Linked DNA regions of Sus scrofa. The protein of the gene in region 2 purifies or fractionates together with the protein of the main gene of each other region. This does not show direct contact. Links are inferred from orthologs where the notes say so. Each region holds a gene or a part of one and is shown on either strand. Other genes may lie near its edges.

What was found.
Region 1: the proteins of CLGN (region 2) and TCTN2 purify together in Homo sapiens (affinity purification with mass spectrometry; 3 studies listed by BioGRID and IntAct, with this or other methods). This does not show direct contact. The link is inferred for Sus scrofa from reciprocal best matches to the Homo sapiens genes CLGN and TCTN2.
Region 3: the proteins of CLGN (region 2) and SLC12A2 purify together in Homo sapiens (co-immunoprecipitation; 3 studies listed by BioGRID and IntAct, with this or other methods). This does not show direct contact. The link is inferred for Sus scrofa from reciprocal best matches to the Homo sapiens genes CLGN and SLC12A2.
Region 4: the proteins of CLGN (region 2) and PTPRU purify together in Homo sapiens (affinity purification with mass spectrometry; 3 studies listed by BioGRID and IntAct, with this or other methods). This does not show direct contact. The link is inferred for Sus scrofa from reciprocal best matches to the Homo sapiens genes CLGN and PTPRU.
Region 5: the proteins of CLGN (region 2) and SLC12A6 purify together in Homo sapiens (affinity purification with mass spectrometry; 3 studies listed by BioGRID and IntAct, with this or other methods). This does not show direct contact. The link is inferred for Sus scrofa from reciprocal best matches to the Homo sapiens genes CLGN and SLC12A6.
Region 6: the proteins of CLGN (region 2) and SLC30A1 purify together in Homo sapiens (co-immunoprecipitation; 3 studies listed by BioGRID and IntAct, with this or other methods). This does not show direct contact. The link is inferred for Sus scrofa from reciprocal best matches to the Homo sapiens genes CLGN and SLC30A1.

What each region holds. Positions count from the first base shown.
Region 1 is NC_010456.5:29,315,650-29,320,699, forward strand, and holds part of TCTN2 (tectonic-2), read right to left. Parts: coding exon 4,922-5,050; intron 3,138-4,921; coding exon 3,072-3,137; intron 1,361-3,071; coding exon 1,226-1,360; intron 959-1,225; coding exon 881-958; intron 1-880.
Region 2 is NC_010450.4:86,665,284-86,670,333, forward strand, and holds part of CLGN (calmegin), read left to right. Parts: intron 1-1,229; coding exon 1,230-1,343; intron 1,344-1,467; coding exon 1,468-1,618; intron 1,619-3,359; coding exon 3,360-3,575; intron 3,576-4,699; coding exon 4,700-4,825; intron 4,826-5,019; coding exon 5,020-5,050. UniProt on the Homo sapiens protein: Functions during spermatogenesis as a chaperone for a range of client proteins that are important for sperm adhesion onto the egg zona pellucida and for subsequent penetration of the zona pellucida.
Region 3 is NC_010444.4:131,098,912-131,103,961, reverse strand, and holds part of SLC12A2 (solute carrier family 12 member 2), read right to left. Parts: intron 4,119-5,050; coding exon 3,996-4,118; intron 2,539-3,995; coding exon 2,427-2,538; intron 1,373-2,426; coding exon 1,286-1,372; intron 1-1,285. UniProt on the Homo sapiens protein: Cation-chloride cotransporter which mediates the electroneutral transport of chloride, potassium and/or sodium ions across the membrane. Plays a vital role in the regulation of ionic balance and cell volume.
Region 4 is NC_010448.4:86,213,525-86,218,574, reverse strand, and holds part of PTPRU (receptor-type tyrosine-protein phosphatase U), read right to left. Parts: intron 1,972-5,050; coding exon 1,836-1,971; intron 1,317-1,835; coding exon 1,167-1,316; exon of another isoform or gene 1-1,166.
Region 5 is NC_010449.5:80,240,559-80,245,608, reverse strand, and holds part of SLC12A6 (solute carrier family 12 member 6), read right to left. Parts: intron 4,985-5,050; coding exon 4,838-4,984; intron 3,453-4,837; coding exon 3,398-3,452; intron 2,929-3,397; coding exon 2,798-2,928; intron 1,642-2,797; coding exon 1,400-1,641; intron 1-1,399.
Region 6 is NC_010451.4:131,631,236-131,636,909, reverse strand, and holds the start of SLC30A1 (zinc transporter 1), read right to left. Parts: upstream 3,325-5,674; 5' UTR 3,312-3,324; coding exon 2,696-3,311; intron 1,031-2,695; coding exon 126-1,030; 3' UTR 1-125. UniProt on the Homo sapiens protein: Zinc ion:proton antiporter that could function at the plasma membrane mediating zinc efflux from cells against its electrochemical gradient protecting them from intracellular zinc accumulation and toxicity.

The DNA.
Region 1 (5,050 bases), on a different chromosome or scaffold from region 2:
GGGGGGAGAATTTTTTTTTTAGAAAAAATGATAGGTTTATTGAACAAATATTTACTGAACACCTACTCTGGTCTAAGCCAGTGTTGTCCAATGGAAATATAATGCAAACTTCATGTTTGATTTTAGAATAACTATAGCAGTGTCTCTGCTGTGGCAGTAGCTTAATCCCTGGCCTAGGAACTTCCACATGTCTTGGGCATGTGGCCAAAAGAAAATAATGTATTCAAAAAGTGCACAGTCCCTGCTGAAGTCTCTCCCTGGATTGCAGTTTAGGAACCCACCAACTGCAGCTTATTTAAAAAAAAATTAATTTCACCAACACTTCAAATGCCTTACCTCTTTTTCAAAAGACCAGTAGCTAAAAAGTTTTGTTGCCTGCATTTACAATATACAGTTTATGTAAGAAAATTAAGTAGTTATCAGAAAAAAACTCAGTGTCACAAAGTGACACTGTGTCTTTATTTTTAAAGACAAAGGTCTGAGTCACAAACTAAAATTGGAGAGAATGGAGTTCCCGTCGTGGTGCAGTGGAAACGAATCCAACTAGGAACCATGCGGTAGAGGGTTCGATCCCTGGCCTCGCTCAGTGAGTTAAGGATCCGGCATTGCTGTGAGCTGTGGTGCAGGTCATAGACACAGCTTGGATCTGGCGTTGCTGGGGCTGTGGCGTAGGCCGGCAGCTGTAGGTCCGATTCAAACCCTACCCTGGGAACCTCCATATGCCACGAGTGCAGCCCTAAAAAGCAAAAATAAACAAATAAATAAAAATAAAAAATTGAAAAAAAAAATTGGAGAGAGTTATTTATAATCACCCTTACAGTGTAGGAGTATTGAACCAAAATACGTTTGTGAGATCGGTGATTGACATCCACTACCTCACCTGGATTTCCAGATGATTCCATCTCAGTACCACTGTTAGAGCTTAAAAATTTTACTGAAAATCTCTGTGTCATGATCCCTAGAAAAAAATAAATAAATAAAAATACGATGTCACATTTCACTAGAAAAAGAAATGACCCCTCATAGTGTTATTCTCTTTACAACTACATTCCGATGTGCAAAAAAAAAAAAAAAAAAAAAAAAAAAAAAAAAGAATTCTATGATTCAATCATGAATACAAATAAGAAAAACAAGTCTGAATTAGTCTATCTGTTATAATTACCACAGTCATGAAGAAAGCAAAAAAATAAACTGAGAGCATTCTTGCTGCCCTCCACAAAGTTACCTTTCTGGTGGACATTAATTTCTGCCCTAATAATTTTGACATCTATTTCACTGATTGTATTATTATTCCATCTGAAAATATAATGTTCTTCCACATTCACGTTCCTGGCGGCTGGTCCACTACTCAAAAGTGTTTCTGCAAAGAAAGCAATATTTTCATAAATTAAAGGCCTTCTTTGGGCTTAAGCCTATTACTGGTGGTTTTCTCTGCCTGGGTGGCCTTCCCCCCACACCCAACCCCACCCTGCCTACCCAACTCCCCAACACAACAGGGTCAACTTTTCCTCTGAAGGCCTTCCCCAGGCCTCCACCCAAGTCAGCAGAGCCACCTCCTCTACACCATCTCAACATCCTGAGTGAAGTTTCTCCCTTTCATGCCTACATCCTGGGTGCCTGGTTCATAGCTCAATATGGAACACGCTTGGAAGAATGTTAAGTGAAAGATTACACAATGACAGCTCTTGGAGTTCCCACTGTGGAACTGGGTCAGTGGCTTCTCTGCAGTGCTGGGCCACAAGTTTGATCCCTGGCCTGACCCAGTGGGTTAAAGTATCTGGCACTGCAGTAGCTGTGGTGTAGGTTGGAGCTGCAGCTTGGATCTGATCCCTGGCCTGGAAACTCCATATGTCACAGGGTGGCCAAAAAGGAAAAAAGAAAAAAACAAAAAACAGAATGTCAGCTCTGTAAGAGCAGGGATGTGCCTCTAGTACACTACTATATTGTACCAATATCTGATGAAGTAAAGAATGAGTTCAAGAATTACAACATGTTGAAACACAAGTAGTATCCTTTATTAAAAACTAAAGACCCCAGGAGTTCTCATTGTGGCACAGCAGAAATGAATCCGACTAGTATCCACGAGGACATGGGTTCAATCCCTGGCCTCTCTCAGTGGGTTAAGAATCTGACATTGCCAAGAGCTGTGGTGTAGGTCTCAGATGCAGCTTAGATCCAGCATTGCTGTGGCTGTGGTGTAGGCTGGCAGCTGCAGTTCGGATTCAACCCCTAGCCTGGTAATTTCCACATACTGTGGGTGTGGCCCTTTAAAAAAAAAAAAAGTGTTGGTAATATTGGCCAAGTTCTAAGTACCTTATTTGGCTGCATCACAATCAAAATTTAATTATCAAAAAAAGGAAAAGCAAGCAAGAAGTGAAAATGCTAGATCTGGAGTTACCGTTGCAGCTCAGCAGAAATGAATCTAACATCCATGAGGATGCAGATCTGATCCCTGGGCTTGCTCAGTGGGTTAAGGATCCAGCGTTGCCATGAGCTGTGGTATAGTCACGGCTTGGATCCCATATTGCTGTGGCTGTGGTGTGGGCCCACAACTACAGCTCTGCTTCAACCCCTAGCCTAGGAAACTCCTTATGCTGTGGTCTGGCCCTAAAAAGACCAAAAAAAAAAAAAAAAAAAAAAGCTGGATCCTCAGTAATTCTTTACCTATCTGAAAAACATTTCAGAAAAGGTCCATAGGCCCTGAGAATGAGGAAGGACCCTGGAACACACATAATCCAGGACTGTGGAGGGTATGGTTCAAGGTCACAGAGGTGACTCCAAAGTATGCTTAATGGAATAAGCAATATGCAAAATATTGATGGGATAGCTTTCTAAAGTTGTGATCCTCCTATAATTCTTAATAAAAATGCATTTTCCTCTGGGACTATATATTATTTGTAAAAAAAAAAAAAAAAAGGACATATATTCCCACAGAAATAATATAAAATCAACTATATGCCAATAACATTTATTTAAAAAACAATTAATGGACTTAGATTGGGAAAACAGCCCAAAAAGCTTAATTTATTTCAATAAAAAAGAAATGATATAAAAGTATAACATTAAAGTACCTGTATTTGTGATGACTCTGTCTAGGTCAGTTGCGTCTTCATAGATTACTTTTGGTGTAACTATGCCTGAAAAGATACATAAATGAACTTTCATGAGACGACATAACTGAACAGGATCACATATATCTACGCAATGCAAGTTCACCAAGCAAATACGACAACTGTGCCTGCCCTGTATGCCAACTACACAGCTCTCTCCTACTCCCTGAACACCATCAAATGGGAGTCCCACTGTTCTTGGCATATAATTATAACTGAGGGGTTGAATCTCAAAGGTCATTGATGATGATGTGGAGAGTCAGGCTCACGGAAGAACTAATAGGCAGCACGTTGCTGGTGGGATTACAAAGTGGTGCAGTCATTTTAGAAAACAGCTTGGCAGTTCCTCAAAAAGTTAAATTACCATATGACTCAGAAATTCCCACTGCTGGGTATCCGCCCAAGAGAAATGAGAACTTGTGTCCAAACAGACACCTGGACGCGAGCATGCAGAGCAGACTTATTCACAATCGATGGAAGCTGGAAATAACCCAAATGCCCATCAACAAATGAATGGATAGCACAGTGTGGTGTTTTCATATTATCTGGCCCTAAAAAGGAACGAGGTCCTAATCCATGCTATAGTGTGGATGAATCTCAAAAACATAATGTTGAGTCAAAGAAGCCAGTCACAGAAGGCCACATGATTCCATTTATATGAAGAGTCTAGAATAGGTAAACCCATAGGGTAGTTTCCAGGGATCAGGGTGAAGGGAGAAAGGAAAGAATTGTTTAATGGGTGTGGGGGCCCCTTCCAGGGTGATGAGAATGCTTTGGAACTAGATAGAGGCAATGGTTGCACCACGTTGTGCAGCTACTAAATGCCACTGAACTGTACACATTAAAAGGGTTAGTTTTCATTTTCTTTTTTCTTCCTACCCATGGCATATAGAGTTCCCAGGCCAGGGATTAAATTTGAGTCAAAGCTTCAACCTATGCCTCAGCTGAAGCAACAGAGGATCTTTAACCCACTGTGCAGGGCCAGGGATGGAATCAGTGCCTCCACAGAGACAAGACGGATCATTAAGCTACTGCCCCATAGGGGAAACTCCTAATATGGTTAATTTTTTTTTTTTTTGTCTTTTTTTTTAGGACCGCACCCATAGCATATGGAGGTTCCCAAGCTGGGGGTCGAATAAGAGTTGTAGCCGCTAGCCTACACCACAGCCACAGCAATGCCAGATCCGAGCCACATTTGTGACCTACACCACAGCTCAAGGCAACGACCTACACCCACTGAGCAAGGCCAGGGATTGAACCTACATCCTCATGGATGCTAGTCAGATTTGTCTCTGCTGAGCCACAACTGGAACTCCTCATTAATTTTTTTAATTAAAAAGTAAAATTTTAAAACGTTTAATTTTATGTTATGTGAATTTTACCTCAATTTTTTTTTTTTTTTTACTGGAAGTTCCCAGTCAAGGGGTCAAATTGGAGCTGCAGCTGCTGGCCTATGCCGCAGCTATAGCAATGTGGGATCCAAGCTGTGTGTGCAACCTACACCGAAGCTCACAGCAGCACTGGATCCTAAACCCAGTGAGCTAGGCTAGGGATCAAACCCACGTCCTCGTGGATATCAGTCGGGTTCGTTACTGCTGAGCCACAATGGAAACTCCTCAAATTTTTTTTAAAAAGAATAGATAATATGCTATCTTATGGAACTGAATTTTTTCCAAAGAAAACACCCTCCTCAATGGGCAGGTGAAATATTACCCTAAGTTGATGCAGTAGAAGTGATTTCCATGCCCATAAGATCAGAGTTGATCTCAACACTCAGGTCTGAGATCTTTTTTCAAACAAGTGGAACGTACCTCCCATTGCACCATTCTTTATCTTCACGTTGATGATACGATCTTGTTCTGGGAATATTTCCAGATTAGTCACGCACTGAACATCGAAATTCTGAAGGAATGCCACCGGGGCGTTCTGCATGCACTGCC
Region 2 (5,050 bases):
TGCCGCGGGTGTGGCTCTGAAAAAAAAAAAAAAAGACAAAAGACAAAAGACAAAAAAAAAAAAAAATTTTTACACTCTGGTTACTCTGAGCCCTCCAACTTCAGGATAACATTGATATCAGGCAGTTACAAGTCTTTGCATATACAGAGTTGATTACTTCAGCTTCTTACTCAGTCTTTACATAGAATTGATTATTTCAGTTGGTTATTCAACTTTTGTTTGGAAAATTATAATGTAACCTCTCGTTTAAAATGCCTGCTTTTCTATAAAGATGAAAATTATGTGAGTAATTCTATTCAGTACTTACTATGACTATGTTTATATAATTTAGAATTTACTTTGTTATTTTTAAATGAAAATATAAAAATTTCTAGAATTAAATATAGAGATGTGGAGTTTCTAAAAAGTAATATTGGAGTAGGGAAGATCTTTCAAATATGACATAAAAGTCCATAATCAAAGAAGGAAAATGCTAATAAATTTCAACTACATGAAAATAAATGATTTTTATATGGCGCAAAAAAACCTCACCATAAACTATGTAAAAAAATGCCTGAGGGATTCTCTTTTGGCACAATAGGTTAAGGATCTGGCATTGTTACCACGGCACCTTGAGTCACTGCCATGGCATGGGTTCGATCCCTGGCCGAGGAGCTTCCACATGCCATGGCGGCCAAAAAAAAATAACACGAGAAACTGGGAAAAATTTTAATTCACATAGCTGACAATTTCATATTAACTTCTAATGTGTTTAAGGCTATTAAGTATAACATTATAATAATAGTTTTTGGAAAATTGTGTCCTCCAGAACAGATTAAATAAATTGTGGTATATTCACAGAGTAGGAGACTATGGAACCATTGAGAATCAAGCAGGTACAAATTTATATAAAATAGCACTCCTAGAACAGTCTTGACATGTAGTAGATATCCTGTATATGTTTGTTAACAAATGAGTTTTTAAGCGAATAGCAGCAAAGTCTTAACATACCCTGTATAGAATGCTATTATTTGTGTAAAGAATATTTATGTATATACCCATTTGTTTATGCATAGAGCATAACAGGTAATTTACAAAAAAGTATATAGAAGGTTTTGGTGGATGAGAGATGGAGGAGGTAGAAGGTACAGAGACAGAAGGGTAGGAAATGCTTTTCGGTACCTTCTGAATTTTGTGACGTCCATTTTTAAACTGTTTAAATAAAGTATCAAAAAATACTGTATTTACAGGGATGAAAGCGAACCTGCTCAAATAGAAGATTCAAGTGTTGTTAAACCTGATGGCTGGCTTGATGATGAACCAAAATTTATTCCAGATCCTAATGCTGAAAAACCTAGTGACTGGTATGCCTTCTTCATCTTCAAATGTCAATTTTATATGTTTCTTGCCAGCTTTTTTGTTACTAGTTTATATGACTGACAGGAAAGACTTGAGTTTCCTAAATTTGCTTTGTTCTAATATCCTAAGGAATGAAGACATGGATGGAGAATGGGAGGCACCTCATATTTCTAATCCAGCATGTCGGGTTGGGTGTGGTGAGTGGCGAGCTCCCATGATAGATAACCCAAAGTACAAAGGGGTATGGAGGCCTCCAATGATAGATAACCCTAACTACCAGGTAACAACCACTTGTTCCAACCCATAGTAAAGTTTAAAATGTGCTACTTCTGTTATAGATCTAGTTACTGCTAATGTTATGTGAACTCTCAGAACTTTGATTTGTAATAGTGTGCCTTAACTATCTTAAGAAGTCAAAGAAAATAGACACCAACTAATTTACATTTAAAAAGTAAAGCATTCTTTATTTAATTTTCTGGGGGGGGGATAAAATTAACAACTAAAGATCAGTCACTTTATACTGTTTTTATCTTAGTAATCAACTGATGATCACTTTGGAATAAAATTTTATTTCAGAGTTATATTTAAGAAATGAGTTCTGATCAAGAGGACTCACAGGAGTTCCTGCTGTACAGAAGTGGGTTACAAATCCTACTGCAGTGGCTCAGGTTAGGTTCACAGCAGAGGCATGTTTTCGTTCTGTTTGGGAGCTCCCTTCCTGGGCTCAGTGGTTAAGGATGTGGTGTTGTCGCAGCTGTAGTGTCGGTTGCAGCTGTGACTTGAATTTCAGTCCTTGCCTGGGAACTTCCATATGCTGTGGGCGCTGCCAAAAAAGGAGAACTCATGTACATTTTAGTGATTTGAGTCAGTGCTGGATTAACATGCTCCTTACTCTGGCATTACTATAACTGGATTTTTTTTTCTAATAAGAATCAGATATTTTTTGAGTGTACCCTAGTTTGAGGTATACTCAAGTCCTGTGTTATCCCTTTAACCCTGTAGTTTTAGTTTTATCTGTCTAATTATTCATTGACATTTTCTTTTTTTTTTTTCCTTTTTTCTTTTGCTTTTTAGGGCTGCACCTGCGGCATATGGAGGTTCCCACACTAGGGGTACGTTTGGAGCTACAGCTGCCAGCCTACACTGCAGCCACAGCAATGCCAGATCCCAGCTGCATCTGTGACCTATACCACAGTTCACGGGAGCACTGAATCCTGAATGAGGCCAGGGATCAAACCCTCATCTTCATGGAAACTAGTTGGGTTTATAACCCACTGAGCCACAGCGGGAACTCCTTCATTGACATTTTCTGACATTTATCTTACGTATATAGTAATATACTTGAATTGCTCACTGTGGTTTTTCTTTGTGGTATTTATCACAAAAAGGCTTATTTTGGTAACTTTTTAAACATGTCCCTCATTAGACTTTAAGCACCATAATGCAGGGAACATGTCTGCCTTGCTTATCACTATATCCTAGCATCTGGCATAGTGCTTGGAGCAGAATAGATTGGGTTGAGTTGAATTGTTGAAGATCTAGTGAAACTTCCGTGTTGAATAATTGTTCTGAGATTCAATTATGATTGATTATTGATGCCTATCATGGCTATATGTTAAAAAACCATGGCTCCTGTTTTTGCCATAAGGTGATCTCTCTGATTTGAAGTTTTTAATGCTATCTTGACTTGAATATTTTTACTAAATGTAAAAAGACAAGCAACAAACAACTTGTCTAAAATTGTATCACTTGTGAAATTTACTCAATTTTCTGTGTGTGTTGGATTTTCACTTTTTTTTTCTTTTTCAGAGATTAAAGTCAGTATTATTCATAGGGAACATTGTGTACAGGGTAAAAAGAAATAAGATTTTATTTCCAGTGAATTATTAATGAATTAAATATCAGTTAAAGTTTTCTTTTTTTCAGTTAGTATTGCTAATTTAATTCAACAGCAGCTACTTCTTGAGTAACATTTACAATGAAATTATTTTATTTGAAAATGTCTTTATTTTTTCTTCCAGGGTGTCTGGAGTCCTCGAAAAATCCCTAATCCAGACTATTTTGAAGATGATCACCCATTTCTTCTGACTTCTTTCAGTGCCCTTGGCTTAGAGCTTTGGTCCATGACCTCTGATATCTACTTTGATAATTTTATTATCTGTTCAGAAAAGGCAGTAGCAGATCGCTGGGCTGCAGATGGTTGGGGAGTGAAAATAATGGTAGAAAATGCTAATGAGGTACATGATTTACCATATAGTAATAATAGGACTTGGTCCTGGTTATAAGTTATACAAATGATCTTTTAAAAGATAAATAAATGTGCAACAATGATTAAATGCTGAGGAAACATATTTAAATTAATTTATGTGAACAGAATATTTAGCTTTACCAAATCAGGGTACAACTTCATTACAGACTATTTAATGAACTTATGTAAGTCTTTATTTCACTTATTAAATTATGATAACATAATGGGATTTAATGCCTTTTGATGTTTATAGAAATGATACTACTCAATATCCTTGTCATCTTGTCAATTCAATGTTTAAATGGGAACAGTAATCTAAATATTCTTTATTCATTTTAACAACTTTTCACTTAGTGGAGTGCAGAAACTTTTTAAATTTAATATTATTATGCCCTGTTTTTTCCCAAAAATCTTAACATTACTTAAAAAATAGTAAATATTTCAACACAGTGCATCTTGGAGAATCTATCTTTAAAACCAGTTAAAGAAAAATTCATACTTTACATTTGGTTTCTTTGGATATTAGCAAAAACCATCAAAAGAGTAAGTAAGTAAAGGTAAAAGGATTCTCATTTTGAAACTCTTCTAACTAAAACATATGATGATTTTAGATTTTCTTTTAGTAAGAGAAACAATTTCCTTCCTGAAAGTTGTGTGTGAAATGTGTTAATAACCAAGAAGAAGAAAATACAGTAATTCTCAGGTTGATTTTTTTTTTTCAAGGAAGTCTTTTAAAGTACAGAGAGTTGTATAATTCTAAATGAACCAGATAATACACCTTTTTATTAGGGGTATTTATACTCTTTTATAAAGAGTAGTTCTGTCCTGAAACTTACCAATAAAGAAAAGTATCTTAACTCTTGCTGCTACACTAGCCAGGTCCACCTATATAATACAGCCTATCTTTTACTACCACTTGTCAGGAGCAGCACATGTGAGTAGTTAAAGATTATTTAAACTTTGTGAAGTATAAAATGGGAAAATAAAGTATTTTTTAGCTTACAAATTCGTGACTCCTTAATGTAAAACACCTAGGTGAAGTTAAGTTTTTTATTTTATATGCTGTGTTTCTGAGTGAAGGTTCATAGACTGCATTTCTGTTTATGTCTCTAGCCCAGTGTATTCAAACAGCTCATGGCAGCTACTGAAGCGCGCCCCTGGCTTTGGTTCATTTACCTTCTGACAGCAGGGCTCCCAATAGTGTTAATTACTTCATTTTGTTGGCCAAGAAAAGTAAAGGTAAAGAAAATGAATTTTCTTCAACATTTGACAAAAAATCACTTGATATTTAGGAATTTTGTGAATAGAGCAAGTGGTTCTTAAAAGTAATAAACTACATTGCCTAAAAGTTTTTACTGATAGTTCACTGTGTATATCAGTTACTGCAAAAAACCTTGCTTTTAGTAAAAATAGCTTGTATTAAACCACCACAGAAAAAATTCAAAGATGCAGAGTTCAAGAAAA
Region 3 (5,050 bases), on a different chromosome or scaffold from region 2:
ATACCAACTGCTAATGCAGATCTCCCTGTAACTGCTCCTGCTCCCAGCCCATGCTCCTCAACCTAAATAAATTTCATCACATAGCTAAAATAGCCTTTTAAGTAGGAGGTAAAATTGTTACTCCTTTACTTGAAACACTCAGTAACTTTCCCAGTTTAAGTACCAATGAATAGAAGTACTGTTAAGAAAAGGTACTAAGAACATTTCGTATGGAGGAAAGTACAGATCTTAAACATTTGAGAAGATGCAAAATTAAGCTCTAGATCCAAAGGTACCCAAGTAGGACAAAAGATAGAAAAAGCTTTATTAATAGCATTCTAATCCCCTATAAACATGGAAAACGTATTTTTCAGTATCAAGTCTCATAGAAAGCTCCTGGTGTATATATATTGTTCTATTAAAAACAAATGTCTCCGGAGTTCCCATGGTGATGCAGTGGTTAACGAATCCGACTAGGAACCATGAGGTTGTGGGTTCGATCCCTGCCCTTGCTCAGTGGGCTAAGGATCCGGTGTTGCCGTGAGCTGTGGTGTAGGTCGCAGATGCGGCTAGGATCCCACATTGCTGTGGCTCTGGCGTAGGCCGGTGGCTACAGCTCCCATTAGACCCCTAGCCTGGGAACCTCCATATGCCGTGGGAGCGGCCCAAGAAATGGCAAAAAAGACAAAAAAATAAAAAAATAAAAATAAAAATAAAAACAAATGTCTCCCTAATTACAACCTCAAAGGTATAGCTGTTTTCTACTTAAAATGAATTCTTTATGCCAGCTTCATCATATAGCTAACATATATCTGGAAGTAATTAAAATTATGTATAATAATATAAATATGTACAGTTGTAACAACTTCCATATACCATTTTAAGGTAGAATAGTCCACAAGTCTACTTTTTTTTGACTCTCTGAGATTTCTGAATGTGATTACTATAGGCAAATTCTTAGATTTTTCCCCCCCTATTTTGGTAATAAAATAGTGAAAAGTAATATATATGCGGAATAGGGATTAAGTGGTCATAATGAACAATGGGGTGAACAATGGAAATTTAAAAACCATGTGGAATTTCTGTGGCACTAACGAGTTTCAGAAATTACTTGCAAAGTAGTAATAGAATTCATCTCTAAATATTGAAAACTCTTTGGGCTTACTTCAGTACCTGCAATAGGAATACCATCTGCTATATATTAAAAACAGGTTGACTTCACATGTAACAGTAATTAAGTGATCTGTTAGAGTCTCTGAGTAGGTCAATTAGAAATTTGTATAAAGTAATTTATCCAATAACTTACTTTTCTTTCTTTGGTTTAGTATTAATATCTCCTAAGACCATGATATCAGAGAAGTCTATCCGGAACTTGCTAAGCAAAGTAGCCATCCTAGAACAAAAGTGAACAGTATTGTGATACGTGAAGGCTATATATAGTAGTATTTTTATTCTACTTAGGGCTGAATCCACACATCTGAAAAGCATGATTTATAGGAAAAGTCCATCAGGTGCTAAACAAAGTCGTCCTGAATTACTTCAAGTGATACATTCATAAAGCAGACACCTACATTCTCTGAGTAGAAACTTGTTTTGAATTCTGTTGATTTCTCTGAATCTCTCCATAGTATCGAAAAAAAAAAAAATGAATGGAAGGAACGAGACATTAATAATGAAATCTGAATGGCAGCTAGTTTTTTAAAAGTTAAATTTTATTCAAATTATATTGGTAAGTATAGGGAATTAAGTCTGAAATCCTCTATATGTTTAGGGCAGGTGCAGAAATGTAAACTGAGGTATAATAAGGCTTACTTGGGGAAACAGGAAATAAAGACAGAAAGGAAACAGGTGGACAGATCTTAAGGGAAGGGCCTGACTGTCACACAGACTTTCCATGGTATGTAACAGAGAAGAAGTTAAAAGTATTCGGGGCAGAGGCATGACATGGTGAAAGCTCCAGTTTCCAGATGTGAAACTGGGAGCAGTGTGCACAGTATATTATTAAATGGTCAGAGACAAGACACAGAGGACTTCAAGAAGTAGTGAAACCAGCACTAGCAGTGTGATAGGAGAGATAGAAATAAGACAATGGACAATGCTATTCTGTATTTCTGTTGTCTAGAAGTCTACAAAATATACCATATGAATGCCACTTTTGTGCACTTTCTATTTTTAAAAAATGTGCTTAATACTTCAAAGCCACAAGTATTTAAAGTTCTTCTAAAATGTCACTATATTAAAAATATTACATATAAGTAAAATGAAGTATCTATAACAAACATGAAAACAAGAGAGAATGAGGTTTTATTCATTTGACTAGAATTTTCAGCTTCACATAGAACAGAGCAAATGACATTTTCTGGATTGTCTAATTTTATACTATCAAATCTATATTGAAATAACGAAGTGCTACTAGGTAAATGTTCACCAATTTAAAACAGACTTACGCTCTCCGATCATGGTCTATTCTGTTTATTTTTCCACCAATGAATACTCTGATCTTACAATCCTTCCACTTTTTCTTGGTAGTCAGAAGATATGGTATCAATAAGGTCAAACCTGAATCATAAAAACATAACAGATCATTACCTAAACACTAATTTCTCTATCAAGAACTTTTAATTCAAGTTAGTTGCTATTTTCTCCAACTCAACATGAAATAAAATCTTTCTGTCTTTCCTAAATAATTCAGACAAAAAGCCACTTGGCTTTGCCTGGAAAAGCAAGGATGCCCAGTGGAGCCAGAGCCATGCGAGAAAGGCAGAGAAGTGGACTAATGGCCTGGCAAGGTCAGGAGACTACAGTTACACATCAGGACTGAAGAAATGAGAATATTCATTGAAGCTAATGTGAGCCGTTTCTCACTGAAATGAGAAACATAAAAAAAAGCTGGCATGAACTCTGCAGTGTTGGACTGGAAGTGGTTTCATCTATACCTGTATATATGCAAGAAAACATACATATGTGTATTTCCTTGATCTGTCCACTGACAGAGCCTGGGAACAGTGACACCCTAGCAGCAACAGACATACCTAAAGCCCTGACCTTTGTTTGTAAATACCACTCTCTACTAAAAGGAATCAGGCTCTTTGGATAAAGGGTGACTCAAGGGCCGGTGTAGGTAAAGTACAAAACTGAGCCTGGAACATCTTGCAGAAAATAAATGACATGACAAATGGACACAGGAGTCAGCCTAGAAAGGATACTGCTGGCCAAATCTGGGTCATCATCAAAACAAATAATAAGCATGAAAAATCTTACCCAATAAATAAAATAGGAATCTGTAAGTACACATAGATAGAAATAAAGAGGAAACTCTTCTTTATAATAAAATACCAGGCAATAAATGAGGAAGAAATGACAGGATTGGAAAAATCATCATTTGGCAACCACAGACACATCACAATAACAATAACAGGGAGAATAAATTCAGGTAGAAATATCAATGGATGCTAAACATGGCGGCAGCAGTCACAGTAACAATGGTATATTTATATAGTCTCAAAGTAACTCCCCATCCCACAAATACCTGTAAGTATAAAAAGGGTTAACAATAACTTTTCAGTATATGAAAACCACCTTCCTCAACGGTCAAAGCTACCTTCATCAGTTATGAACAAATCAACATGGTATGTCACCTGGTGAGAAAAGGGCAGAAGAGCACAGCATCACTTCCGTGATATTTCTACCCAAAATACGTAACTTGAAACTGATTATGATGAATCATCAAACAGCACTCCAAATTGAGTGACATTCTACAAAATGGTCCATAATATTTTTTTTTAAATGTTGAAGTCATGAAGCTCAAGAAAAGACTGAGCAACTTTCAAACTGAAGGACAATGAAGACATATGACAACTAAGTGTGAAGCCTGATTCTGGAAGTAATCCTGTTGCTTTTGGGAATATTGGCCTAATGGGAACTGGGTCTATGGGTGAAGAGTACATGCCATTGCCTAGTACTAGCCCCACAACTTCAGAAAATTTAAACTTGTCAAAAAATGTTAGCAACCTTACCTCCATCATCAAAAAGCCACCAGACATCAATTGTATTCTTTCCCTGTTTTTTCTGAAACTGTGTACTAGCTTCAAGAAGCTTTTGGTCAGCTACATTTAGAGGAGCAGCAGGGCCTTTGGATTCTAAAGAATTAAGCAGAAAAATAAAGATATAAGGGAGGTAAATATTAAAGTATCTTTAGCTAAATTCCTATAGTTCCCTAACTTTTGTATATTCAAATGTTTATAACATACATAGTTGTATACATGGCATCCATCATAAAGTTTCAGTTGTCTACAATTTAAACATACTTTCAGAATAGTTATGATAAATCTATCTCTTTAATACCTAAATTCATCCAAATTACCTTGCCTAGTTTCTAATATTTTGTCTTTTTTTTGGGGGGGGGTATTTTCTAGGGCCGAATCTGTGGCAAATGGAGGTTCCCAGGCTAGGGGTCCAGTCAGAGCTGTGGCCGCCGCTCCAGAGCCACAGCAATGCCAGATCCGAGCCATGTCTGTGTCTGAGACCTACACCACAGCTCACAGCAACGCCAGATCCTTAACCCACTGAGCGAGGCCAGGGATCGAACCTGCAACCTCATGGTTCCTAGTCGGATTCGTTAACCACTGAGCCAGGACAGGAACTCCGAGTTTCTAATATTTTGAAACATTCTGAATGAAAGAGAATCATAAAAATCAATCAAGAAAATTATAACTTGCTGCTATATTTTTATTTCTGGAAAGCTGTTTTAGGCTTATTGGGCAAATTTGTTTATGCCTGTTCCCTAAACATATTTCTTTTATAATCTGGTTTCACAATAATTTAAAGCTCAAAAATTTTAAGTACAATATTCTCATCTGTAATATAAAAAGGCAGAAGGGAGTGGAGACATTTCAGTACAATCTTGTAATCATCACAGTGAAACCTCTCAGTCTAAGGAAGAACTCCCTTATCTTTACCTAACTTTCGTCTCCTCAATAGGTGAGGCCCAATTCTAAACCTATATAACCACATCTTTCTCTGAACCACAGAAAGATGGTGGAAAATTCCCAGGAAGGGCACCCATCTGCTA
Region 4 (5,050 bases), on a different chromosome or scaffold from region 2:
GAACGGCCCTAAAAAAAAAGACAAAATACAAAAAAAGAGAAGAAGAAGTCAAACCCCACATCTTCCGCAAAGCGGACTCTGGGGACTGGGCACTGGTGGTCCCCTTCCGCAGTCACAGCCCTGTCAAGGAACACCGGGCACAACAGCAAGCCAAGGACACTGGGTCCCCTCCCTCCCACCTTCGAGCCTCACGCACCTTGATTCACAGAGTCTTTCTTTCTTTCTCTTGCTTGGGGCTCCCTAACGTGATCCCCAGAGATCAGCATCCTCCTCCAAGAATCAGTGCAGCACCTCCTGTGTCATCACTCTGTGCCAGTTCTAGAGCACCAGGCACCCGGCATGTGCCTCTGAACCCTCATAGGAACCCCGGAGTGGAAAGAACATCTGGGTCTCTCCCCACCCAGTGGCCACATTCCAATTTCTCCTAAGAACCAGGCTTCTCCCATCCTAGTCATGTGACAGAGCGACCTGCCCCGCCCCCAGAACCACACATGGGCCAATCACTGGGCTCCATCTCTCTGGTCCCAGTGACTGGCTCAGAAATGGGCTCATGAGAGTCTGGCCTGGGACTTTTGGGGGGGCTATTGGGAGCAGGAAGTACCCCCTTTTAGAGTCTCTTGACAGCAAAGATGACGGGGGCCAGGGTGTGGATCTGAGAAAGAAGCCAAAAACAGAGGAGCATGAAACCAAAAATGGACGAGACCAAATCTTGGCATCATCATTTGAGACCCTGGTTCCAGCCATAAATGAAGCTGGACCATCCACAGACTTTTTAGTTACAAGAGCCACTGAGCTGGATCTTTGTCACTTGCAAGCAAAAGAATCATAAGGAAGACAAACACTGCAAGGGCAATATTAGCTATCTTCTTCTTTGTTGGGTAAGAAAACTGAGGCTTAGCGAGGTTATTCACAGCTCTTAACTAGGCAAAGGCAGGCTTTGAACTCAGGTTTATCTGACCTCAAAGCCTGGGCTCTTAATCTCTAAGATGTACCACCTCCTCCACTGTCTCAAAATCCCTCCTGGTAGCCCAACTCTGTCCATCCTGCTTGGCTCGCAGTGACTCCCACAGCACCGAGGACCTCCCAATACACCACACACAAACACACAGACACACACACATGCACAAATGCTCACTCACTCACCCACACACACACTCATGCCCCACCTGGAACTCCTCCCGCAGCTGGGAAGAATTACTCTGAGGGTCAATGCGGATCATCTCTTTGTAGGTAGCCTTGAATTCACTGACAGGGATGGTGGTCTCCCCACACAGGCAGGCCTCCAGGATTGCATCGTGGATGAAGATGTACTGCTCCTGGAACAGGAGGTGAGAATATGAGGAACCCAGAAGGGACCAAAAGCCAGGGATTTGGGGGTAGTGGCCGGGGAGGCAAGCTCAAGGTTGAGGCTGGGGAGTTCTGAGGTGGCGGCCAACCACGTGACCTCAGGTTGGGCCACCTATATGTGAACCGACCTTCATGGCTAAGTTTGCTCACTTACATCATATCCCATCCCTATAATCGCCCTATGAGAAGCTCTGAAGGTGAGGGGACAACCCAAGGTGACATATCTAGTGAGGAGACAAAGCCAGCATGCGTTATGTCTTGACTGCAGAACCTATGACCTTGGCCCAGTGCTCCTTGACCTCCTCACCCAACCGAACACAGTGGAGCTGAGTCTGGGAAGACCCTGAGAGGCCGGCAGGCCAAGTTCAAGGACACAAAAGAACAAGGGGAAATCCTAGGACACCCGTCCAACACACTGCCCCGCTTCGAGCTCCTGCACAAGGGACCCTAGTCCCGGAGAAGAAGTGGGGAGAGGGCTGCACCCTCACCTCAGTCTGGATCATGTTGACGCGCCGGGAGCAGAGGGTCTTCACACAGTTGTAAATGTCCACGACACCCTCACAGTCCGCCATGTCCAGCATCACATCCAGGACAATGTAGCAACCTGTGCGGCCAGTGCCCGCGCTGGGGAGAGAGCAGCCCGGCCAGGTCAGGGCCTTAAGGAAGGAGCTTGGGACCAAGCAGAGGGAGAGAGGAGCGCGCCTAGGGCAGGCACCTGGCCAAATCTACACCACACAGGGGACGGGGGACACAAGAGGAGCCAGGGAGAAGGCAGCTGGAAATGTAACAGAGGACTGAGCCAGGGCTGGGCCTTGGGAAGGAGAAGAAAGAAAGGCGAGGGAGAAGGCAGATGTGAGAGCAACCCCAACTTGGCCGCTTTGACTCGGGGAGAAGAACAAAGGTGGTGCTTGGAGAACATCAATCCAAGAATGTTCTGGCTTCCCTGGAGGTCCCCAAATCTTCAAAGCCCTACACACTCATACCCACTCACATACTCGATGGAGCCTCCAGGAGATATTCTTTTGAGCTCCCAGGCTTTTCCCAAAACCCCCTTCCTGCTCTGTCGTCATTGTTTATGTGGCCACCTCCCTAAGGGACTGGGAGCTCCTCAAGAGCCCGGCTGGGCTGGACCCACCTCTGGGATCCTCTCATTCAGTACCAGGCTGAGCAGAGTTGAAAAGATGGGAAGAAGACAAAGAGGACACTGAAATCTCAGCTTGACCATGGGGTAGCAAGGCGGCGGTCATGACACGTAGCCACTGGGTCCCCACACACCACTGCTGGGCGCTTGAATTAATGCAACCACCTTGGAAAACCATTTGCAGTATCTGGTAAAGCTGAATATTCACACAGAGCAATTCCACTCCTACGTACACACCTCCCAGGAATGCGTGTGTGTGTCGGCCAAAAGATGTAATAGAACCTCCTTAGAAGCACTCTTCATACTAGCTCAACGTTGGAAACTGCCCAAATGCCCACCCACAGCAGAATGGGTAAACACACTGTGCTTTATTCACCCAGTGGAATATGATACAATATGGATGAACCTTACAAACATAAGGTTAAAGGAAAGTCAGACTCCAAAAAGCTCTATGATTCCATTTATACAAAGTTCAAAGCATGCAAAATGAATCTACGGTTTAAAAGTCAGGATCGTGATCGCTCTGGAGGTGGGGGGCAGCACAAACCAGAAGGGGGCTCCAGGGGCTTCTGGGTTCTGTTAATGTTCTGTTTCTTTTTTCTTTTTTGGTCTTTTTGCCTTTTCTAGGGCCGCACCCATGGCATATGGAGGTTCCCAGGCTAGGGGTCCAATCAGAGCTATAGCCGCAGCCTATGCCAGAGCCACAGCAACGCCAGATCCGAGCCGTATCTGTGACCTACACCACAGCTCACGGCAATGCCGGATCCTTAACCCACTGAGCAAGGCCAGGGATCGAACCCGCAACCTCATGGTTCCCAGTCAGATTCATTAACCACTGAGCCGCAACGGGAACTCCAACGTTCTGTTTCTTGATCTGAGCAGTGCTGGTTACTTCACAGTGAGTTTGTGAAAATTCTTAATTACATAATGCACTCATTATTTGTGCACTTTGCTTTAAGTATATTTTACATTAATGAAATTGTATCTTAAAAAGATTATCTCAGGAGTTCCCACTGTGGCACAGTGGGTTAAGGATCCAGAGTTGGCTCTGCAGTGGCTCTGGTTCAATCCCTGGGCCAGGAACTTTCTTATGTCATGGGCACAGCAAAAAAATTAAAAATAAATAAATAGAAATACTATCTTAGAGTCCTAAAGAAATCAAAGGGAAGCTGGTTTGGGGGTGGCAGGGCAGGGAAAGGAATGGGCCTACTGTGTGGCCATTTGGGAGCTGATAAGAATCCAAGTAGAGAAGCCGGGACAAGATACAGAGGCTAAGGACTTGTGGGCCCAGGGGATCCCCCAAAACTACAGGGTCAGAGGTTAAGCTCTCCACAGGGTCAGAGGAGTAGGGGTTAGAGACAGTTAAGAGGCAAAAGCGGAGTTCCCGCTGTGGCACAATGGGATCAGTGCCATCTTGGGAGCACTGGGATGCACGTTCGATCCCTGGCCTGGCACAGTGGGTTAAGGATCTGGCATTGCCGCAGCTTGGGCTTAGGTGGCAACTGCAGCTCAGATCTGATCCCTGGTCCAGGACCTCCATATGCCACAGGGAGGCCAGAAAAAAAAAAAAAAACATTTTAAAAAGAGGCAAAGGAGTTCTGTCATGGCTTAGTGATTAACAAACCCTACTGGCATCCATGAGGAGGCGGGTTCAATACCTGGCCTTACTCAGTGAGTTAGGGATCCGGCATTGCCATGAGCTGTAGTGCAGGTGGCAGACATGGCTCGGATCCCGTGTTGCTGTGGCAGTGGTGTAGGCTGGCAGCAATACCTCCAATTGGACCCCTAGCCTGGGAACCTCTATATGCCACGGGTGCGGCCCTGAAAAGACAAAGGACAGGGAAAAAGAAAAAAAAAAAAAAAAGCAGCAAAAAACAAAACGACAACTTTTTCTACTAAAAAAATAAATAATAAATAAAAATTTTAAAAAGAGGCAAGAGGAAGATGAAGAGCAAGGATGAAGCAGAGCAGAGAGATAAAGCATAACTGGGTCCACAGCCAACCACGGCAGGAGCTGGGAAAGGAAGGAGCAGAGGTCAAAGTTGCAAAGGGCGTGGAGTTCCCGTCATGGCGCAGTGGAAACGAATCCGACTAGGAACCATGAGGTTGTGGGTTGGATCCCTGGCCTCCCTCAGTGGGTCAAGGATCCGGCATTGCCATGAGCTACGGTGTAGGTCACAGACTCAGCTCAGATCCCATGTTGCTATGGCTATGGTGTAGGCCAGCAGCCGTAGCTCTGATTGGACCCCTAGCCTGGGAACTTCCATATCCTGCGGGTGCAGTCCTAAAAAGCAAAAAGCAAAAAAAAAAAAAAAAGTTGCACAGGGCATGAAGGCCAAGGGGTGAGAAAAGCCCCCTGGGTTTGGAGGAGAGAAGGCAAAGACCTTCCCACCACCTGGGCCAAGCCTAGCACGCAGGTGTGCCATGCACACTTACTGAATGGAAGCAAATGGAACGCAGTCCTGCCTGGCACCTCACCACCCCCTCACCGCTTCCATGTCTCCAGCCCCTCCTTGGCCACTGGATGAAGGGTCTCCACAAGTCTTGGGAAGCGTATGAGGG
Region 5 (5,050 bases), on a different chromosome or scaffold from region 2:
ATAACTCGGCTTCAACAACTCTCAACATTTCCCAGTTGTTTTATCACTCCTCTAGGGTTTTTTTTTTTTTTTTGCTTTTTTGGGCCACATTCACGGCATATGGAGATTCCCAGGCTAAAGCTACAGCTGCTGGCCTACACCATGGCAACGCAGGATCCGAGCTGAGTCTGTGACCTAAATACCACAGCTCATGGCAATGCCGGATCCTTAACCTACTGAGCAAGGTCAGGGATAGAACCTGAAACCTCATGGTTCCTAGTCGGATTTGTTTCTGCTGCACCACGATGGGAAATTCTCCTCTAGGTTTTTAAAATTGCTTTGCTGAAATATTTTAAAGAAAACACCACACATCACAAACTTTTGCCCACCAAAAAAGAAGAGAAGCATCAAAGGAGAACTTGAGACAGAAGGGAATTTTCCCAGTTAAGATATAGCCAGAATGTAGCCTTTTATGACTCAAGTGGATCTTCAATTACTTGGCAGCCCCTAGATGAGCAAACTAAAAAGTTCTGGTGGAGTCTGTTATTGACATCATTTAGCATAGTACAAGAAACACTGGACTGGGAATCAGGAAATCACGAGGTTTGTGTTCTTGCTCTGCCATTAATTAACTTTGGGGCAAGTCATTTTATCTCTAAGGACCTGTTTTTCATCTTGAAAAATCTACTTTTACGTAATCAGGTTAAATCAAGGTTGGGAGTGATGAGTCTAATCCTTGGATGACCCCCGGACAATTTGTCAAAGACAATCAGTGTAAGATTACAAACAACTCTCAGGGCCAGCTAGCACCTATGCCACTAATCAAATGGAAAACGGTGAGAGTGTGAGTCATATTTCTGTACTAATCTGTTTCTACTTCAAAAAAATAAAATATACCTTAAGGTACCTTCTCTACTTACAGTAATAGTATAATCTATATTTAGAGAGAGAGAGATGCAAATGACATGACATTCAATTCCCTTTACGACTAAACGTCCATTACTGTACTAACAGCAGAATTAAAAATTTAATTATAAATACTTAGGTAGGTAAGTTTCCTTGACTCTCTTGACTTTTCATTAACAAAAGGAATCTAATATTCAAATACTTTATAAAGGTTACTGGTAATGACTATGCGGTTTGAAAAGCCTTTCATGAATAGTTTAAATATAGATAATTATTGCCAGCAGGTTTTGAAAAAACTACTATCTACATCCAAATGATGACCACAGTTGCCAGTTTTATGCTTGGGACACAAGGAAGAGGTTGGACATGACACAGTTTGCTGGGAGTCTTCTTTCATAAATACTAACTGGGCTTATCCAAGAGGGAAATCTCTGAGAAACTGTGAAAATGACTTGAAATGACCACATCACTGTTGATGACTACCCAATAATGATGGCTAGTCAGAGACACGTACGGGAAGTGTGGCGGGGCAAAGGAAGACTTGATGGCTCCAGCATAGATGGCCAGGATGGACACAATGACACAGGCCAGAAAGAGCGAGGCAAACTTGTTGACGTAGCGCACACCGATGAATACCACCAACACCATGAGGACCAAGAAGGCTGTGCCATAGACCCGCATGTTATTTAGCATGGCTGCTGACTCCTTGAGTGCATCGTCACTATGAAAGATGGCAGCTCGGGGGACAATATATACCTGTTTAGCAAAAGAAGTAGAAAATAAGGTCATTTCAAAGTAATCAACTAAAAAGGTAGCTGTAGTTTGCAGTTTCTTTCATAAGGGAAAGCAAAACTGAGACAGAAATAGACTGGAGACTTAGCCTAATTTCTATTTGGATCTAAAATGCCTACAGAAATGGGATGTCATTGATTTTTTTTTCTTAAGTCTATGTGCTGTTCTAAATACATCTCCGAATGGAAAAAACAAGGATTGTGTTAATAATTTATTCAAAGTGTTATATAAAATAGGGAGGAAGGGATGGATTGGGGATTTGGAATTGGCATATATAACTGTGATAAATGTAATGACTGGCCAAAGGGGACCTGCTGTATAGCACAGGGAACTCTATCCAGTATTCTGTGATAATCCATATGGGAAAAGAATCTGAAAAGAAAACGATGTGTGTATATGTATAACTGAATCACTCTGTTGAATAGCAGAAATTATCACAACATTGTAAATCAACTATACTTCAATAAAACTTTTTATAAAAAGTGTTATACAAAATAATTGTAATGATTACCTTAAGTCCTATTTCTGCTATCATTACTCTAAACCTCTCAGTGAATAACTAAAGAATATTTTATTTCATTGGGATAGACATCAAAAAAGATAAACTTTATTTTACTTTTCCTCCATTAGCCAAGTCTTGCCTCTGAGACTTCATCTTTGGGGTCAAGGTGGTAGGGTGATGCAGAATGAGTAGGCAAGCAAGGGATACCTCCATCTTTCAGACTCATGTTTATAGTTGGTGATCAATAACAGGTTAACAGTCAGTCATCTGATTAATTCCATCTCTTTTTTCTTTTTGGTCTTTTTAGGGCTGCACTAACGGCATAAGGAAGTTCTCTGGCTAGGGGTTGAATCAGAGCTGCAGCTGTCGGCCTACCACACAGCCATGGCAACATGGGATCCGAGCCACATCTACGACCTACACTACAGCTCATGGTAATGCCAGATCTTTAATCCACTGAGTGAGGCCAGGGAACAAACTCATATTTTCATGGATACTAGTCAAGTCCGTTATTGCTGAGTCACCATAGGAACTCCAGAAGTTTTGATACCAAAGAAAAAAATACATTCAAATCTATATATTTTCTACACTGTAAACCACAATTAAATCATTACTCACCAGAAAAATTTCAATGGCACCAAGGATGTACATGGCTGCTGCAAACGTGGTACCAAGATAAAAGCAGAGGCCAACAGCCCCACCAAACTCTGGGCCCAGTGCTCGGGATATCATAAAGTATGAGCCCCCAGCTAAAAGACACAACAGAAGAACAGGATAAAAAAAGTATGTTAGTATTAGGAAAGTCAGCAAGTCATAAAGAAGGAAGATAACTGATTCAGACTTTTGAAAACCCTAAATGTGATAAAAAGCAGATTTCCTAGTAGGAAGTAAAAGATGAAACCTTTAAACGACACATCTAATATGCTCCATATAAAGCAGCACAATTTGTCAGTATTACTTAAAAAATAGCAGAGGATTATTACACGCATGAGACAGCAGAATAAAACATATATTCTAATGAAAAGAAGCTAAGAATGCAACAGAAATAAGGGATTTTTAATCTTAAAACATAAAGAGATTTCTTTAAAGAAGGTATTCTAAAGTCAAGTAGTGTTAGTGCCTATGGCCAACATACTAATTAGTATTCTGTTCCTTGGAAGTTTACGCCTCATTACAGCATAAATATACAATCTCTGAAATCCAGTCTTAGCTACTGACCTGGCACCACTCCATTAGTGGCAATGGCACTCATGGAGATAGCAGTCAACATTGTCTGTAAAGAAAGGGAAAGGAGAAGACCGTTACTGTATAAAGATGGTATTTCTATACTACTTTCCCATTTGCAGACCTCAGAGCACTGATCGAACATCTAATTCTATCTACTTTTACGGAAGCGGTTGCCTGTCATACCGAATTTCATGGAAATGAGATGATGTGCTTTGACGCACTGATGTGCTTCAATCATACTACTAGTATCGGGAGAATTCTGCTAAAATACTCCTATATTGTAATCAGTAGGTTAGGTGCTATTAAGAACCACTCATCTAGTCCCGGTCTCCTAAATTGAAAACTCAGAAAACAGATTAGAAACTGACTAAAGACTGGCTACAATAACAAGAACAACATTCAGTAAGAAGGGAAACCACTAAAGACTGCCCAGCTCATAAGAACTGTATTTTAAAACATTACCTGGTAGTAGCAGAGTACAGAATGGACTGCAGATAGGGAGTAGATGGAGGCAGAGTGACTTGTTAGTAGGCTATTGTTGTAGTTCAGAGAGAGGGAAGGACTGCAGTGGCAGAAGTAGGAGTATAAAGAAAGGGTTGAACGAAAGAGATTTCAGAGGGAGATTTGATTTGATTGGTCTTGATAGCTCATGAGATGTGAGAGGCAATCAAGGAACCAAATAGGGCCCTGAAGTTTCAAGACTAAGAAACTGAAAAAAAAATGGTGGTATCATTAAGTTACTAACAACATGGACTATGTCTCCTTACCCTGCTTTGCACAATACTCAGCTGAGCACAATGCACAGGGAGTGTATGATGGTGATAGTAATAAAAGGTCAGTAGACAGCTGAATAATGAAATTAAAAAATTTATAATAATCAACTTACAATAAAATTGAGAGATGTGGCTGGGATACACAGATAAGAGAAGTTTAAATTAAAGGAAGTTCAGAATGTTCTCAGTGTAGTGAAGAGAAGATCTGGAAACAATACCCAAATTTCTGGGGAAAGGACAATGGATGAGACTTCAAAACAAAACAAATACCTCTCATTTCCAAACAACAATCAGTTTTGTTAATCTTCACTATACTGGAGTAAGCATATCATGTTTTCTAACACATTTTCTGTCACAACATTGGTATTATCAAGCTCAAATAGTTTGTATCTGAATTTTTGGAAGTCAGAACCTGTATCTTCTCCTTCTTATAGAAGTCCTTCTTTGTAATTTCAAGTATATCATATTATAAACAGTAAATAACTGACACTAAGTAATTGAAGATCCTTTAGATTTTAATATCAAAATAATCTCTCCTGTTGAGATGGCAAGTCCTTCCCCAGTATGTATTCTTTGTTTTATTCTCAAAGAGGCCAAGCATGATACTCGAGCTTGAGCAGTGTTCCAGGTGATCTCCAGGAGCCAACTTGGGACTTACACAGCAGCAGCAGATAAGGACAATTGCAAAGGCCTGCAGAACTCCAGCTGTGCCCACCACCCATGTAAGGCGTAGAAACAGGATCACTCCAAAAATATTCTGTAGACATGGGAGGTAGACACCCATGAAGGTACCCATTTGGGGGGTCTAGAAAGAAAGATGTTGATGAAAGAAAAAATCATATAGTCATCATCTAGAAGTGATGCTTTTATC
Region 6 (5,674 bases), on a different chromosome or scaffold from region 2:
TAGAATTAAACTGTGTGACCAGACAAGGACTTCAATTACACTACTTGGCAAACATAGAGTTTCAATGGAGTCTTTTTCCTCTTGCAGTTTAAAGCAAAAGTCAAATATCACATCTTTTTCGAGACTCATAAAGATGATTCAGGTTGTTTGTTTGGCATTTTTTTAATCTCTATCACAACAGCAGGGATGTTTTCAACTTTAGTCCTCCTGGGCTTCTTCTCTAGATTGTCACTAAGTTCTAAACAAGAAATGCTAACTGCCGGGGCCTTTTCTGCATCCTTTCCAGATTGGGCTTGTGGCCGTGTCCCACAACATTGCTTCAAAGCACACTGAGTTCTGCAGGCAAGTTCACAAGGGACTACACTTGACTTAGAGCCTACGCTAGCAAATTCAGGTTGAATGGTGGTAGCGTGAATTCCGTGATTATGGAAAACGTCCTTAATGGTCTTAGCCACCTGCATGTACGATGTCGGGTCTTCACATTTTATGTGAGCAGTGGCAATGATTCTGCTTCCAGCAAGTTGCCAAACATGTAATTCATGAACTTCCTCAACTCCTTCAACATCTCGAAGTTCCTTTATCAAATTTTTGATATCAATTTGTTTGGGAACAGTTTGGAGAAGAATAAGAGCAGACTCCTTAAGTAATGGATAAGTTGTGTAAAGAAGTATACAAACCATTACAATACAAAGAGTTGGATCTAAATATAGCACCCAGCAAGGACCAGCCTCATAAACTGTTGCATGAGTACTATTAATTAACTCTACAAATGCTTTGCAGGGGTCAGGAACACATGGATTCACACACATCTCCCCCTCAGGACAACCTTTCCAAGAAAAGTAAAAGACTAAGGCATTTACTACTACAATCACGGAACCCAAAGCATCTCCAAAGACATGCAGAAAAACTCCACGCATGTTAAGTTGTCCAGCCTTATCATCATCATCTTCCAATTCCACCTGGTCCGGTTCTCTGATAAGATTCCCATTCACTTGTACTTCCACTGCATCACTTCTGGACTTTTCTGGATCTACAAAGAAATAAAGATTCCGTATCAAACACACATCTAAAATGTTTATATAAACATTCTTGCCTAATTCCATTTAAGAAATGGAAGTGAACATTTTTCACAAAACATAATTTAAAAATGTGCTCAGGAATCTAATATAAATTGACATACTGGGAACAAGCCAGGACAGAATGGCCAGGCTAAATTAAGTCATTAAGATGATATTGCTTCCCCAACACTCCTAGCCACTCACTGTCCAACACTACCACTTCAAAAAAAAGGTTCATCTTTTCTGTATGTGTGTGTGTGTGTGTGTGTGTGCTTTTTGGCATATACCAAAAGGAAAACTAAATTGGACACTATCACCCCAAATTAAATGCAACTATGGATAAGTCTAATGCAAATGGCTAATTTGACACAGTTCTTTAGCCATCTTTTGTCATTAAGGTGTTAACTTTTACATTTTTGTCATTTATATAAATGAGTCTCTTAATGGAATGGGTTTAGAAACTAACACATCAACAATATAAACCTATCAACAATCACAGAGACTTAAAGAAAAGTTGGAACTATCATTATCATTACTACTTCCTAAATCAAACATAATGATCCTTTAAAAGAATTATACACACCAGAGCAGCTTAATTTTCTTTGGAATGACACCTTGCAGACTAGAGGGGGAGTGAGAGGATATGCAGTTGTTTACGAAACCTCTTCAAAGTACAACCTGAATTTCATTAACATAACATCCTGCATCTTGGATAAAGGAAAGCTGTCTATGTAGCATAAAACTAGGTGAATAAATATATATGGAAAAAATCTAGAAGGAAATACACAAGTTGTTAACATCCCTGGGCTTGGGTAGTCAGGTATTAGATAGATTCCTTTTTCTGTCGCCTTCAACGCCCATTTCCCAGATTTCCTTCAAAAGCACTTACTGTTTAGAATGAAAACTGTCCATTAAAAATATAAGCTGAATTACCATCGCTTATCTTCGTATGATTATGGAAATTCCTAAGTGAAATGTTAAACATGCCCAGACAGGTCCGAAGTCTAAGATTTTCAGGGTTTGGTTTAGATTTTAGAAAATTACCTGAAACATACACGGCTGTTCTTAAGAAGAACCTTGAACCAGGGTTTTGAACTCAGGCAAGTCAATCGCTAGATAGCTGGCTCGGGATACATCAAGAAACTTGTTGGAAGGGCCTCAGAACTACTTGGGCAGAGCAAGGTCCCAAACAGCCAACAACTAAGGACCAGCGGGGGATTCTCTCCGTGGGCCGACAGGGTCAAGAAATTGAATTAGGAAGCAGTTTGGATCCTGCTAACGCCCAAATCAGACACTCTCTTGAAACGGCAGCCTGAGAAGACAGCCAAGTGTGGGGTGCGGGCAGCAGGGGGCTGACGGTCACCCCTGACCTTTGTCTGCTCTCACAGCCGCGATGCCTCGTCTACACCCACCCCCCAACCCCCGAAGCGTCCCCGGGCTCATGACACCAGGCTGAAAGGGGGAAACCTGCGTTTCCGCGCCTTCTGGGCGGGCGCGGGACCGGGAAGGAGCGGCGAGGCGGCGGTGCGGCGCGGCGCGGCCCGCTGGGCACCAGGGGGCGTGCGGGCCACCCCGCCCGGGGCCACCCGGGGTCTGGGCTCCCCAGGGCCAACCACCTGCGGCGGCGACCACCTCACCTGTCCGGTCCAATTTCAGCCCGTTGGAGTTGCTGCTCTTGGCCACCAGGATGTTGGTCTCCTCCTGGTCGGTTCCCTGCTCCCCTGGGGCCGCGCTGCTGTCGCTACCGCCGGCGCGGCTGCTCTTGCCGCGGCCCCCCTTGGGGAGGCCGTGGCCGTGCCCCCCGTGCGAGTGGCCGTGGCCGGAGTCGTTGCCGAAGCCGCTGTGATGGTGGAAGAGGCAGAGCCCCAGCACGTTGACCACCAGCCCCGCCACGCCGACCCCGAGGACCACCAGCGGCTGCTGCATCTCGTGCGGCTCGATGAAGCGCTCGATGGCCTCCAGCAGGATGGCGAAGCAGAGGCCGGTCAGGAAGATGGCGTTCACCAGAGCCCCCATCACTTCGGCCCGGATCCAGCCGAACGTGTTCTTCTGGGTGGCGTGGGTCCGCCGGGCGAAGCGCTCGGCCACCAGCGCCACCACCAGCGCCAGCACGTCCGACAGCATGTGGAAGGAGTCCGAGAGCATCGCCAGCGACGAGGTCACCCGGCTCACCACCACCTCCAGGACCATGAACATGAAGGTCAGTAACAGCATGCAGAGCAGCCGGCCCCGGTTCCGACCCCAGCACCCCATGGCTGCGGCTTAGGGGCCCGCCGAGCGCGGCCCGGACACTCGTGAGGCGGCGGCGGCGGCGGCGAGGCGCCGAGGGCCGGCGGCCCGGCCACGGAGGAGGAAGGGCGCCGCCGGGCTCTCACCGCCGGAGCCCGGCCGCTCGGGAGCCTGCGGTGGGGCCTCCGCCGCCGGACAGGGGCGAGCCCGGGGTCAAGCCGCCGCGCCCCCGCGCCTGCGGGCGTCCCCGGCGGGCCGGTGGCGCGCAGCTCCTCAGGCGTCTGTCCTCGGAGCCGGCGCGGAGGCCCGGCTCAGCCCCAGCAGCCCCCACACCCACGGCGGGGCGGCGGAGGTGGGGAACTGGGGCTCCCGGAGCCCGCGGACCAAGAGCCGGAGCAGGAGCGGGCGGGCGACGGGCAGCTCTGCGCTGTGAAGACTCCAAGCATCTGCCGGCTCTCCGCGCAGGTCTCCCTCTCTCAGGTCTCCCTCCGGTGTGGCTCGGACCGAGGAGCCGACGCCTGAAGAGCTGAAGAGGCGGCAGCAACCGCAGCTGCACTCGGCCCGGTGTCGGGCGCCTTCTTCGCCCCCCCGCCTTTGCAGACGGTTTACAAAAAAACTTTGCTTTGCACTCGGAACCCCCGTTTTCACACGGACCCGAGCGTGACAAGGCCTCGCCGCCCCGCCCACCAGGCCCGGCATGCTTCCCCATTGGCCAGGACCTCCTCACGACAGCCGCCGCGCCCCGCCTATCCGCGCTCACTATTGGATGGAGCCCGGCGGGGCGGGAGGGGGCGGTGTCGTGGCTCTAACAGATAGGGGCGGGGCCTTTCCCTTCAGGAGCCGGGCGTGGGCCGGGGGCCGCGGCCGGGTGCAGCGCCTGGCGTCGTGGGGGAGGGTGGGGGGCGCGGGCCGCGTGCAGCAGGAGGGGGAGGGGCGGGGCGGGGCAGCCGGGGTCCTCCCGGCGTGGCGGGGCTCCTGCTCTGGCGCTGCGGGTTCTCGCAGCTCCCAGCACACCTACGGGGCCCGGCAGCAAACAGACTTTGATCCTCCGAGCCGGGTCCACGTGGGGCGGGCCGCGCGGCCGCTGTGACAGGCGGCAGCCTGGGAAGGGCCGAAAGGGGGAGCCCCTGTGTGCGGGGCCCTCGGGTGGGCCCTCCTGTCAAAAAGCCCCGAGATTAGGCCGACGGACTCGAAAGCAAGGGCAGCACGCAACTTGTGACTCCGCTCAACACCCAGCTGAGTTAGTCCGAGGAGGTCCTGCGAGGCGATGAAGGGAATCTTCGTAAATGTTTCAATAAAGCGAAGCACCCGCATCACCACCATCCCCAGGAGACCTTGCGTGAAGCCGTATATTTCTGTCACTGATTATCTAAGGGCCACTTAGGTACAGACTTAAAGCAGGAGAAACCGGGGTTCTGGCCCTTGCTTTGCCACCAGCCAGCTGTCTGGCTTTGAGCAAGTCAACTCATCTCTCTCGACCTGTTTCTTCATCAAGTAAAGGATTGGTCAAGAGAAATTCTTACGATTCCTCCCGGCTCTCAAATTCTAAGACTCTATGATTTAACACACATTTATTTTATTTAGAGACTACAAACAGCAGAACCCCGTGTTGGTTGCTATGGGGAAAGGGAGGGGCAGTAAGAATACAGAAGAATGAGCTTCTGTCCAGGTGGAGGTAAAATACAAACATATAAAAATTTAAATTATGATGACATATCCCTATTAAATGGTGTCAACACTAGTTGAGATTGGTTACATATGTGCTGTGCTCTGAGTGGAGATTAGCTGATTTGAAAGGGAAGACGTGCTGCTTCATTTATGGAGGGGTGGCTTGAGTCAGAGTGGCCTAAAGGGGACTCTCAATGGGCTCAGCACAGCCCCTGGACAGCAGGAAGGCCCTCCAACTGCCCTGGATTGCTGTGAGACAAAGGCAGTGGCAGGGTCTGTATATAAGGCTTATTTGCCCCCCCCCCCATTTACAAAATATTTCTCTTATTTCTATAAAAAGTTTTTCACGTGTGTATGATGTTTCTCATCTCCCTTCCCCCCCCCCCCAACCAGAGAACCAGATCCTTATCTCTTTCTGTGCTGCTGAATAGAAAAGAACTGGAGGGCGATTTCTGAGAGGTTATAAAGGAAGAATTGATAGGATTTGATGATTAATTGGGTCTTGGGAGAGTGAAAGCTGATGAGGGGAATTTAACAAAGATAGTTTTTAACCTGACAAGGAAGATACTGCTTTAAAAGATGAGGAAGTTGAGAGGAGGGGGCAGGGAGCTGCTTTTAAGGGGGGGGAAACCGTCTGTTTTTAATGTGCTAAATTTACTGTATTGGTGTTCGGTCGTTTTGGGTTTTGTTTTGCTTTTTAGGGCCACACCCTCGGCATA